Mus musculus: one gene and its partners. Each later gene encodes a partner of the first gene's protein in a complex. Links are inferred from orthologs where the notes say so. Each region holds a gene or a part of one and is shown on either strand. Other genes may lie near its edges. The genes, in order: Kcnd3, Kcnip1 and Kcnip2.

Region 1 (3,607 bases):
CAGCTTCCCTAACCTCCTCCCTGTCCCAATCTCTCCACTTTCTCTAAATCCCCTGAGTCAGCCTTGCCTTGGCTCACCATGACAGACTGAGTGCTGGGAGCAGACAGTATTGTTTTTCTCTCTCACAGGAAGCCCAAGGTGACTGAGACAGAGCTGTGCCACCTGGAGGAGAAACAGCATCCAGGCTGGGTGAAAACATGTAAATATTTACTTAGTTCAAAGGATAGAGAAAGGGGTTGTGGAGGGCTCCTCTTGAATAGCTTAGAGGGAGGAAAAAGCCAGAGTTAGTCCTGCTGGATTTTAACCACACACCATAAGCTTTATACAGTCTGCGGGAAACATTCAATGCTATAGTCTTGGCAGATGAGCTTCTTTGAGAAGTAGGAATGGTGTAGGCAGGGAGGGAAAGGTGGCTACAGAGCACAGCTACCTCTGGAGGGGCTCTTACCATTGAGCCTGGCACTTCTGAGAACCCTACCCGCTCTGCAAAAAAACAAAACAAACCAAAAAAACCAAAAAAACCAAAAACCAAAACCAACCCCCCCCCCCCCCGTGTCTGTGCTTGCCAGGGGTTAGGAGGTGCAAGGGCAGCAAATGTGCTATAGGGTAACCTGGCCTCGGGGTTTGGATGTGATAGCCAGGTTTTCTTTGCTCCTTTATTTAGAACTGTGTGATGTATTTAGTCATTGTTCACTTTTACCAGCTGCCCTGAGCAGGGAAAGATAAGACTTCCATTTCAGGAGTGTCTGGGAGAGAGGAGACCTTGACCTTGGGTGAAGAGATAGAAGGTAGATGCTACAGGGGACAGAGGACCTCAGAAGAAAGAATTTATGGCTGGCAAAATTACAGACCAGGCATGGGTACAGGGGAACAAGAAGGTAAGGAGGAAGGGAGACAATGACTGGCAAGAGGTCATTTTTAGGATGCAGGGGCAGGCTTAGTGTATGATTATATTATTCATTGTATATTTTGCTATTTGTTTTCGGTGTACGTCGTTATACCATTGTTTTAGAGTTAGCTTAAACTCGTGGCTTTGTTTGTTTGTTTGTTTTGTTTGTTTGTTTTTGTTTTTCGAGACAGGGTTTCTCTGTATCTCCCTGGCTGTCCTGGAACTCACTCTGTAGACCAGGCTGGCCTCGAACTCAGAAATCTGCCTGCCTCTGCCTCCCAAGTGCTGGGATTAAAGGTGTGTGCCCCCACTGCCCGGCAAATTTGTAGCTTTTTATAACTATGCTATAGCCAGTATACACAGACCTGTTCTTAGGTTCTAGATTCGTTTGTATGGTAATTCCTGCTACCCAAGAATTACTTCTGCCAGTGGGAGCAAGTAATCTAGCTGTTAGGCCTGTCACATGGAAGGTGCTTACATAAATGTCTGTAGGAGTGACAGGATGGAAGAAAGACAAAAGAGCAAAATCCTTCTCTCTAAGCTCATCTTCCAACAAGGTGCCCTTCTGTCTTTTCTACAGAGACTGACCTCTGTGTACACAGAGGCACAGGTCATGACCTCCAGAGCAATAAAGGTACCATTTTCATCCCAGATCAAAAGGGAAGTAGACACTTCCCTTCAGGTATCCCTTGCCTTCTAGTCTTTCCCAACTTGATGGAACTTAGAATCCCTCAGGAGACTGGTGAGGCACCCTCTGGGAGTATCTATGTTGTCTAGAGAGAGACCCATTTAATGGGAATGGTGCCAGCATGTGGGCGTGGGCTCCGATGAAAAAAGAAAGACAGCGGAGCTCTGACATTCCCTCCATCTCCGCCACAGTCTGTCAAGAGATGAAGAGTAATCTCCATCATGTGCTCCCCCTGTCGCCATGATGTTTGAGGGCCAAGCAGACAGACGAAGCCTTCTGAAGCGGTGACCGAATAGTGATTCTTCTTTTAATTATATATGACAGGCATTTGTCACAGCCAGGCAAATAATACAGAACCCTTGTAAAAATCTTGCCAGGAATCATCTCTGGATGATGCCTTGGAATTGTGGTGTGACCTTGCTGTCCCAGAGAGAAGCCTGAAGGCCATAGGAGAAAAGGGTTTCTGAGCACAGCAGCCTGTAGGCATCTTGCTCTGTATGGGCAGACAAAGGTATTTCACTTACCTGTTTTCTCAGTACAGACTTGGCAGAACCCAGAGCTTTGCCCAGGCCTGGTGCTGACTCTCTAGTTATCAACTGAGTCCTGTGACTTGACATGGCACCCTGGTGCTTACTAATATTTGATGTTCCACTTGACCTAGAACTCAGTGGCCACAGTCTCTTCTCCTCTCACAGTGTTCATTTTTTTTTTCTTTTCTGCACATTTATTTTTGTCACTTGGTTTTGTACAGGCCCTCAACAGGATATTAAAGTGGCATTTTGTTTCCTGGTAAGCTCTTGGGTGGGCTGCTTGGTGGCCATGGCTGGGGGTATAGAAATGGAGCATTGTGTCAGTTAATAGATTACTTGCATGGAGGACAATCAGGTTCTGTGTCAATAACTTAAGGTTTGTTGCATTCTATAGCAGCAGACTGAGGCTAACTGAGGACATTGGTGGGTAGGAGGATACAACACCGCCTTATCTTTCCAAGTGAGAGGACGTCCATGCAGGGATCCTCCAAAGGATCTAGGGCTGGCAAGGCTGTCTGAGTCTCCCACCCTTCCTACTCCCTCTTCCAACCCTGTCTCTAAGACTTACCTTTTGTGCCCTGCGTTTATCTGCTCTCTGATTCTGGTGGTAGATCCTGCTAAAGTTGGAGACTATCACAGGGACCGGCAGGGCAATGACCAGGACACCGCTGAGGGAGCAGATGGAGCCAAATATCTTCCCTGCGATTGTCTTAGGCACCATGTCTCCATATCTGTAAGAGAGAGGGTGAGGGGTGGGCACAAGAGAGAGGATATAAGTAAGAGGCCATGTGGGAAACAAGTGGGGCTTCATAGCCAATCACTCACTTGCTCGAACACTCGTTAATGTATTCATTTATTCATTAGTGTGCCACAGTAGCTACTATACACGGGAGTCGGGGCTATAATCCCAAAGTGAGCAAAAGAAGCAAACCACCTATGTTCATGGAGCTGCTTTCTATGAGGAAGGCCACACACGAGTAAATGATCCCGTTAAAAAGCCCTGTGGGGAAAAGGTAACCAGACCCAGGAGACAAACGCTACAGTTCTCACTCCTATGTGGATTTTAGCATCAAGACTTAGACTTGTGGTTAATTTGGAGTATCTGTAGAATGCACAAACCCAGAAAGTGACCATTGGTGGTCCCTTAAGGGAGGGAGGATAGTAGAGCAGGGGTGATAGGAAGGGGAAAGGAGAATAACAGGGGGAGAGGCTTAAGGGGGGAGAGGGATAGGAGGGAGGGCAAGGAGGGGTGGGGACAGATGACTAACTTCAAGGATGTTTGAGAAAGCTATAAAGTAACCTTCTATTTTATAACCACATATATCATAATTACACATATACATATGCATATATGAATATATATCATACAAATTATGATCATCATATTACTATATATTAATCCCTATCTTATGTAGAATAACTGCAATATATATTACAAGAGAGTTTAAAGGATTTATTTATTTATTTTATGTATATGAGTATGTTGTTGCTGTCTTCAGA
Region 2 (3,607 bases), on another chromosome or scaffold:
CTTAATAAATAAGTTCATGATTTTTTTTTTAGTAGTTTCTTTGGTATTCCTTTGCAGATTCTTTGAGATGTCTATGAATTGTTTTCTATGAATTCAAGCTTATTACAGATAAAACTTTATTTTTTTCTTACCTCAGTTTCCCTGTTTCATTCTTGGCCTTGGGGGAAATTATGCAATATTCACTGTTAAGCAGATATTAGCTGTAGTGTTCTTAAAAATAGTTATCAGATAACTAGGCTGAGAAAAGGATCTTTTATTCTCCATTTGTTAAAAAGTTTACCATAAATAGGCGGTGATTTTTATCAAGTGCTTTTTCTGCATTTATTTAGTCAATATAGTTTTTCTTTTTGTTGTGTAAATATAGTGAATGATGTGGATGTTTGAGTGTTAAGCCAACCTTGCATTCCTGGAATGAACTTTGCTCTGTTACGCTATTCTGTATTTTTTAATGTATTGATAGATTCGGTTTACTAAAGTTTTGATAGGTTTTTTTGCATCTGTCATCGTGAGAAATAATGGTAGTTGTCTTCTCCATCAGACCTTTTTTATTTCAAATTTCAGAATCGGGGTATTGTTGGATTTACAGAAAAACATTGGAAAGTTCCTTGCGCCCCAGCTTTGTAGGTCTTTGTTAGAAGTCACCAGAAAATCATCCGAGGAGCTCGAACTTTTCTGGGTTTTTAAATGTGAATTGTATTTCTCTTAGGGACAGGGAGCTACTTACCTTTTCCTGCTGTCTTTGAGCCACCGTTAGTAGTTAGTGTTTTCTGAAAACTCTGCTCTACACCCCAGCTCCCCGGAGGTAGAGTGGACTCTCTACCCCAGCCTTCCACCATCTGAACCTGACAACCTTCCAGGCTGAAGCCTGTCTACTTTTCTTCCGTATCTTCCTAGCCTGCAGCCACCAACAAGCCTCTCTGTTTGGAGGGCATGTGGGAACCCCATCTTCTAATGGCAGTTTCTTCTTCCTGGGATACTTTTCCTGACTTTGGGGGTGCCTTTCCCTTGGTATGGCAATACCGAATTAGACAGCCCCTTGCTGACTCTTACCAAAACATCTACCTGTCATTGTACATTTTGCTGTGATTGTCCTTTCCACTCCACTGCCCCATGACAGTCAGACGTGGGCCGATTGCTGGATGTCTCCAGCATCCAGGAAGCTGAATGAATTCTCAATCTTTGTTGAACACCCGTGTCTGGATGAATAGGGAACATGGCTGTGTGGGCTTCTTCACTTCTTCTGTGTGTTCATCTCATGTCCCCTGCTCTCAGCTCACTTACCTCTTTGTTTATGTAGCCGTCTTTATTGATGTCATACAAATTAAACGTCCACCTTAGTTTTTCATGGACTGTCCCTCTCAGTAAAATCGACAGAGCAGTCACAAAGTCCTAGGAAGTAGAGAAGAAGGCCTCTGTTAATCACCTCGGGGCTGGAGAGAAGCCTGGCCACCAGGCTGGATGATGGTGCTTTTCCAAAATGGCACCTCCCACACCCTCCTGTTAGGCAGATGGAAATGTCCAGTCTCAGCCTGGCCCAGTCCTATTTTCCATTCCCTATACCTACACTGTTGCAGTTTCTGATGCCCACTGAGGACGACTTAAGCTCTGACTGTGTGGACACCTCTAGGCAGTTAATTCCACCTTCCTTGCTGATCCTAACCCAAGGCTGCAATGGTTGCTAACATCCGAGGGACTGTACATTCCAGTGAATAGGAGCTCAGGGTGAGAGAACACACTGCCTGTGTTCAAGGCCTCCCTGGCCACTTTTTTTTTCTCTCTCTGATCTTGGAAAAGCCACTCTGTCTCTGCCTCATTTTCTTCCTCTGTAAAATGATAATAAATAATAATCCGACCATGCCTTGTAAACACTATTATAAAAGTTAAGCAGGTTAATAAATATGAAATGCTAGGTCCAGAGGTTGCCCTTCGGCATACAGAGCACAGGGAGCTCTCTACCACCCTCAAGCCCAGTGTTTAGACAAGGAAATTGTCTTCTCCGACTTCAATTGATGTTTGTTAAATGAATCAAGTTTCTTGTCTTAACTGAAGACATTTGATAATTAACTCTTTTCATTAGGACCGTCATATTTGGAAGGAGAGGCAATGTGGAAACAGGGAACTCCCAGACTGGACCCACATACTATACCTCGAACTTTACAGAGCCTGTCTGGGTGGTGTCGAAGGCATTGAAGAGGTAATGTGCATATGTGCTGGCATCTGCAAAGAAGAGGGGAAAGCAGGTGAGTGGGGGTGGAGGGAAGGCTCCCCAGAGGGCAGAGGCAGCAGGGGTGGGGCCAGAGAGAGGAAAGGGAGATCCATTGCTCAGCCCCTGGAGTTTAGGTGAGAAGTTAGTTCTAGCAAAAGGTTAGATAGGTTCTTGTCTCTCTCTCCACTGTGTCCCCTGCCTGTTCCTCTGTGACCTGGTCCTGTGTGTGTATGTGTGTGTGTGTGTGTGTGTGTGTGTGTATGTGTGTGTGGCTGAATAAAGATATCCTGAGCAGGGGTCCTTGTCATGGCACGGCACTTCCTTGTGAGGAGAGACACAGTGAGCACTGTTTCTGAGGTGTTCATAAACTGGGAGTCAGGTGCTAGCCTGAAGTGAAACTACTCCTTCTCAGCCCAAAGAAATCCTACACTGAGTCCCACACCAGGGAGACACCTGTGTACTGCTGGAAAGGCCCAAGGAGGATGTGGGACACTTGAGTCTTTATTTTGTTAGGCCCCGGGAGAGGTGTTCTGCACTGTCCAGGTGACACCTGTGGACAGATGACACCAGAAGGCCACAGGAGGAAGGATACCTTGCCTTGTGGAGCTGTTCCTACTTGGACAGGTGGTGGGGGTCCGGTGCCTTCGTTAATCTGACTTTGTAAATAAGTACAACTTTACGCTGCCCACAGTTTATTTTGCTCAGTGATTGTTGTGGTCTGTAGTACTTACTAATGTTGTTTACGAAATTTCAACCTGCCTTAGCTGTTTAAGGAACCAAAATGACAAAGCTTTTGTCCCATATACTTTTCTATTCCTGGGCTGCCATATTCAAGCTGTGTGATGGTGAGTAAATTGCTTAATGTCTCTGAAACTCCGTTGTTCCTTCTGGGGTCATGATGCCTGCTTCCTGGAGCTGTTATAGGACTTTCTGACACTGCAATAGCCATTCTTCTTCTAGAGGAGGCCCCGTTTTGTTTGTCAGAGAGTTTTGTATTTTCTAGTAAGAAAAGAAAAATCTCGCCATGAATTCTCCTCTGACCCCAAAGAAGACAGAGATAAAGAACAGAGGGGTTGGGGAAGGGAAGGCTGAGCACTGGAGAGGATGCCAGAGAGTGGTTTTCCAAGGGTGTTTATTACTCACCTCCGTGAGGGAAAAACTGAGCGTAGATCTGCTTGAATGTTTCTTCATTGACCACACCGCTAGGGCACTCCTGTGGTGGGAGAGAGGGGGGGGGGGAGAGGTCTGGGAGTCTGTAGTGAGGTGGAAACTGAGCAGGTTCTTCGTGCCCTCTCTTGGGCAGAGACTGGGAAACACATGTATCCTGGGTATCTTTAGGGGGGCCTTGGAGGCAACCCTATCATGAAAAGCTGGTTTGCAAGGGAGAGGAAGTCATTACAG
Region 3 (4,136 bases), on another chromosome or scaffold:
CTTTGATGCAGGTATTGGTCCTGTGTCATAAAAGGACCTCTTGGCCTTGATAGAGGCCAGCTGAGTTCAGAGAACTGTGGTTTCCCTTGCCTTTGGGTGAAAGAAGGGAGTAATGTTATGAGCAGGTCCCTCCGGTTCCGTCTAGGACAAGCAGCCCTAAGCAAAGCTCTCCTTTTTTCCTGACTAGAAGCCCACCCTTGCCGGGTTCCTTCCTGTACACCTAAGACGTTTAGCCTGGAGTCTACAAATCAGCTTGGCTGGTGCCTCTGACAGCTCTGTGGAGGTTTCTGGGAGCGTTCCTTCCAGAGACAGGCCTCCTTAAGGCAGCTGCCTGTCCCAGCCTCATACAGGAACACCCGCCACAGTTCACTGACTCAAGTATTTGGAAAGTAAATCTGACTGAAAAGACTCAATGTGTTGAGGTACTTTAGCTGAGACCTTTGGTCTTAACAGGCCATTCCTGGAGACAAGAGGTGGAGAGAGAGGGAGCTGTGTGCCGGGCTGTGCAGGGCTGTTCCTCACTTCAGAAAATGAGGGAGACATCTCGTCTCGCTTCTGTATCACACTCGGATCCCCAAACCTTTCAGAAGCTCCCTAAATCTGCCGGGAAAACAAAGTCTAGAACAGCAGGTGGGGGGAGAGAAAGGGGCAAAAAAAAAGTTGACTTCTTTCTTTTGCCTTCCCAGTTGCCTGGGGAGGGGGGTGGGTAGGAAGAGTCATCAGATCTGGGAAGAGGGCATTCAGAAAGTGAGGCCCCCTCCGGAACTTGAGATAGACAAATGTACCCAGTGCCACCTGTGAGCCCGTGTCCAGAGGCTGGGTTGGTTGGCTCTGCATCCTCATTCCGCTAGAGAAGGGTGGCTGCTGATTAGGAACACGCAACTCTCGGCAGGAGGAACAACCGAGAATATAAGGCTGAGATGAGGAGCAGAGGGAACCAGGGACTCAGACATACCCCAGGCTCTGGCCCAGCTGTGCAGGACTGGCTGACTGGGGGGCGGAGGGAAAGAGGTGCCTGAGAATTGGAGGCGGGGTTTCTTCACAGCGGGGCTTTTCTGGCCCCCTCTTCTCGAAGCCCCGCAATTGTGGGTGGTGTAGATGGAGAGCTATTCTCCCTTCCGGCACTTTCCAGTTCACCCCTTCACCCGGTGCCTCCTCCGAGCTGCAGAGGGTGGGGGGCGGGGGTAGGGGGAGCCAATCCCGGCAGCGCCTAAGGGGGGAGGCGGCAGTGACAGCCGCGGGGAGGGGGCGGAGGAGAGGCGGCTGGGCTCAGGCTCGGCTCTCAGCTCCACGCTGCCTTCTGCTCCGCTCTCACTTGCTGCCCAAGGATCCTGCTCCTGCCCCGGGACTCTGAGGTGGGCCCTAAAATCCAGCGCTCCCCAGAGAAAAGCCTTGCCAGCCCCTACTCCCGGCCCCCAGCCCCAGCAGGTCGCTGCGCCGCCAGGGGGCACTGTGTGAGCGCCCTATCCTGGCCACCCGGCGCCCCCTCCCACGGCCCAGGCGGGAGCGGGGCGCCGGGGGCCATGCGGGGCCAAGGCCGAAAGGAGAGTTTGTCCGAATCCCGAGATTTGGACGGCTCCTATGACCAGCTTACGGGTGAGTAGGTGGCTCAGGGGTCCTGGGAGGGTGAGCAGACTCCATCCCCCTAGACCCTTCCATCTCTCTGCCCCCTGGCTTGGCCCTTATGCACACTCTGCCCCATTCCTGTGCACCTTGCAGGCTGGTCTAGGGAACAAGACCCTAGGATTTAAAGCTTTGGGTCCCTAGGGGGCTGAGGAAGAACAGGTGGGGCAGGTGTAGAGAGGCAGCAGGTGTAGGCGTGTGTGACACAGGGCTAGGAGTGTGTCTGGAGTGGGAGGTGTTACGTGCGGGAGCACCTGTCGTTCCTGTGTGTCTGTGTATGTATGTGCACCTCCCACAGCTGTTTGCCGTGTGCCTTGAGCGTTGGTGACAGCCGGGGTGAGTGTGTTTGCATGAGGCAGTGCGATTTTATGGGCTTGCCAGATGTTTGAGTGTGGTTGTGTAGGACCCCGGCTGCACTAGTGAAGTTTGTTCTAACCATATGTCTGTTACATGTTCAACTGTGTGCTTTGAATGATTCTGTGTGAAATGGCGTGTGACAACCAGAGTGGTGTCACTTGGTGGTGTTCTGTCCCTTAAGAAGACTTCTGGCATGAGTATTCATTAAAAGTGTTTGTGATTGTGGGGCTGTGGGTTGTTTCAGCATTTGGTGCTGTCCACTCTCAAGCATGATGCCTGCAGTGGGGGCCCCTGTGACTGTTAATGGCATTTCTGTCCTCTTTGCCTCTCTGTCTTCCGGGTGTTAGCAAGGGTCTTTCTTTAGTGCCCCCCATTTGCTCCCTCTATTTCCTGCAAAAAGCTCAAGGACCCAAAGAGAGACCCACCACCCTGGGGTTCTAGCCCTTGGCCCCTGTAGAGAGTCTTTGGTTAGTCCTGGGTTAGTTTCTACCCCGGAGGGTAATTACTCAGGTCATTCTGAGCATGCAAAGCTTCTTTAATTACCAGCAACCCTATTAGAACTTCATCTAAACCTCTTGCTTTCCTTCAGAATAAAGACAGAAACTATGGGCCTATGAAGTGTGGGAAGGCTCCCCTCCCCCCAACCCCTCCCACACCCGTCACTTTGTGGCCCACCTTGGGAGGGTCTATATGTGTGTGTAGAGTACTAAGCTTGGTAGGTAAATTCTGTTTATGTAAATGACTTTGTCACCTTTGTATATTTCCATATTTGTGTCTCGTTGTGTAGAACTCCTAAGAACTCCAACGAAGAGTAGGAGGGGGGCTGTCTGTCCAAAGACAGAAACAGCGATGGGCAAGTGGGGAAGACCATAATCCTTGCCCTTCTCAACAGAGTCAGGGCAGAACCTGGGAAGCAGTGAAGGGGACCAGGATCTAGTGCTCTGAGAATAAGTCTCAGCTACTGACTTTGGGATGACCCTAGTTGCAATGTCAGGACACCAGCGGTGTGTGAATGTGTGACCCCATTCTGCTCTGTGCCCGCCATCAATTCAGGATCCTTGAAAGCAGTAAGGGTCCAAGAGCCCCCATTAACATGCGATTAGTTAGTTTACTTCCTACACCATTCTCCCCTTTAGTGAAATATTCTCCTCGCTGGGCTACTCGATTTATTTATCGTGAGCGAGTGTTTTGCTGCATAGTCCTGGCCTTACTATGTAGCCTAGGCTGGACCCAAACCTTAACTTCTCCAGTCTTCACCATCCTTGCTGTAGATGGCTCTGCACGTGACTGGAGAGCACTATGGAGACCTCTCCTTTGTAAAGAGAGGCTTGTCTTGTGACTGGAGTCCTCTGATTGGAGCCCTAAGGAGGAGTCGTTGTCCACGGTGCTGAAGCGTGCTCCCGCCGCGCCCCCCCCCCCCTTCCTTCCCTATGCAAGTTGGATTCCTCAGTTGCATTTGGGATAGAGGAAGAGGCTGTATCCCTATCAACTTGGTTCATTATGCTGGCAGCAAAGTGGTCTTAAAGTTATTATTCGGAGCAACTTGGATACACCCCAACCATCGCAGTCTTATCCCAACCAAGCTCAAAGCAATTGGGAAAGACTTTCTTAGTAGGGGTAGGGTAGGATGTGCCCACCCCGTAACCCCCAATTCTTCGTATTCTTACCTGCCTGGGGGGGGGGGAGGGGGGCTGTTTGGCAGTGCTGCACAGCGGGGAAAGGCTGAATCAGCGCTCAGCAGCAACCCCATCTAAAGAGAGGCCTAAAAAGAACTGTCCAAGCTGAAATTGCGAGTTGGGTCCTGACTGGCCATGCCCCAGGGCCTGGGTCCAGGATCCCTGGAGTCTTGTTCCTTTGGCAATTAAAGTATCGTTCCTGGGGATGGAGCGCCCCCGTGTGGCCAAAGAGCCCTGTGTATGAAACTAATTCCTCGTGGGCACTGTTGCCAGTGGGTTCGAGTAGACAAGGTGTGGTGTTTAATGGTAGCTCTCTTCTCTTAATATAGGCGTGTTCCCCTACCCTTCGCGCACACACAGTGGAAGAAATGGGAGCATACATCTTCTATGGCCTTTCCCAGGATTTTGAAGTGTTTGTAGGTGCTAGAAGGATTTACATAGCAATAAGTCCCAGAAAGGGGTTTACACAGAGATTGTTAC

What was found.
Region 2: the proteins of Kcnd3 (region 1) and Kcnip1 are in contact, whole or in part, in a crystal structure (PDB 2NZ0), measured with the Homo sapiens proteins. The link is inferred for Mus musculus from reciprocal best matches to the Homo sapiens genes KCND3 and KCNIP1. Residues at the interface, in NP_001365898.1 of Homo sapiens: Ala6, Ala7, Trp8, Leu9, Pro10, Phe11, Ala12, Arg13, Ala14, Ala15, Ala16, Ile17, Gly18, Trp19, Pro21, Val22, Pro26, Met27, Pro28, Leu29, Ala30, Pro31, Lys34, Lys36, Arg37, Asp39, Trp54; in NP_001030009.1 of Homo sapiens: Leu67, Arg69, Gly70, Phe71, Glu74, Val80, Phe85, Ile88, Tyr89, Phe92, Phe93, Tyr101, Leu105, Phe109, Phe122, Ala125, Leu126, Leu129, Leu130, Leu138, Trp140, Thr141, Leu144, Tyr145, Ile161, Val162, Ile165, Tyr166, Met168, Met169.
Region 3: the proteins of Kcnd3 (region 1) and Kcnip2 are in contact, whole or in part, in a cryo-EM structure (PDB 7W6S), measured with the Homo sapiens proteins. The link is inferred for Mus musculus from reciprocal best matches to the Homo sapiens genes KCND3 and KCNIP2. Residues at the interface, in NP_001365898.1 of Homo sapiens: Val5, Ala7, Trp8, Leu9, Phe11, Ala12, Arg13, Ala14, Ala15, Ala16, Ile17, Gly18, Trp19, Met20, Pro21, Val22, Ala23, Asn24, Cys25, Pro26, Met27, Pro28, Leu29, Ala30, Pro31, Asp33, Trp54, Arg60; in NP_775283.1 of Homo sapiens: Arg112, Gly113, Phe114, Asn116, Glu117, Cys118, Val123, Phe128, Ile131, Tyr132, Gln134, Phe135, Phe136, Tyr144, Leu148, Phe152, Phe165, Leu169, Ile172, Leu173, Arg180, Trp183, Ala184, Leu187, Tyr188, Met201, Met205, Ile208, Met211, His228.

Annotation. Positions count from the first base shown.
Region 1 is NC_000069.6:105,657,842-105,661,448, reverse strand, and holds part of Kcnd3 (potassium voltage-gated channel subfamily D member 3 isoform 2 precursor), read right to left. Parts: intron 2,839-3,607; coding exon 2,676-2,838; intron 1-2,675. UniProt on the Homo sapiens protein: Pore-forming (alpha) subunit of voltage-gated A-type potassium channels that mediates transmembrane potassium transport in excitable membranes, in brain and heart. In cardiomyocytes, may generate the transient outward potassium current I(To).
Region 2 is NC_000077.6:33,641,150-33,644,756, forward strand, and holds part of Kcnip1 (Kv channel-interacting protein 1), read right to left. Parts: intron 3,420-3,607; coding exon 3,350-3,419; intron 2,241-3,349; exon of another isoform or gene 2,218-2,240; coding exon 2,147-2,217; exon of another isoform or gene 2,078-2,146; intron 1,390-2,077; coding exon 1,282-1,389; intron 1-1,281. UniProt on the Homo sapiens protein: Regulatory subunit of Kv4/D (Shal)-type voltage-gated rapidly inactivating A-type potassium channels. Regulates channel density, inactivation kinetics and rate of recovery from inactivation in a calcium-dependent and isoform-specific manner.
Region 3 is NC_000085.6:45,813,191-45,817,326, reverse strand, and holds the start of Kcnip2 (Kv channel-interacting protein 2), read left to right. Parts: upstream 1-1,263; 5' UTR 1,264-1,523; coding exon 1,524-1,596; intron 1,597-4,136. UniProt on the Homo sapiens protein: Regulatory subunit of Kv4/D (Shal)-type voltage-gated rapidly inactivating A-type potassium channels. Modulates channel density, inactivation kinetics and rate of recovery from inactivation in a calcium-dependent and isoform-specific manner.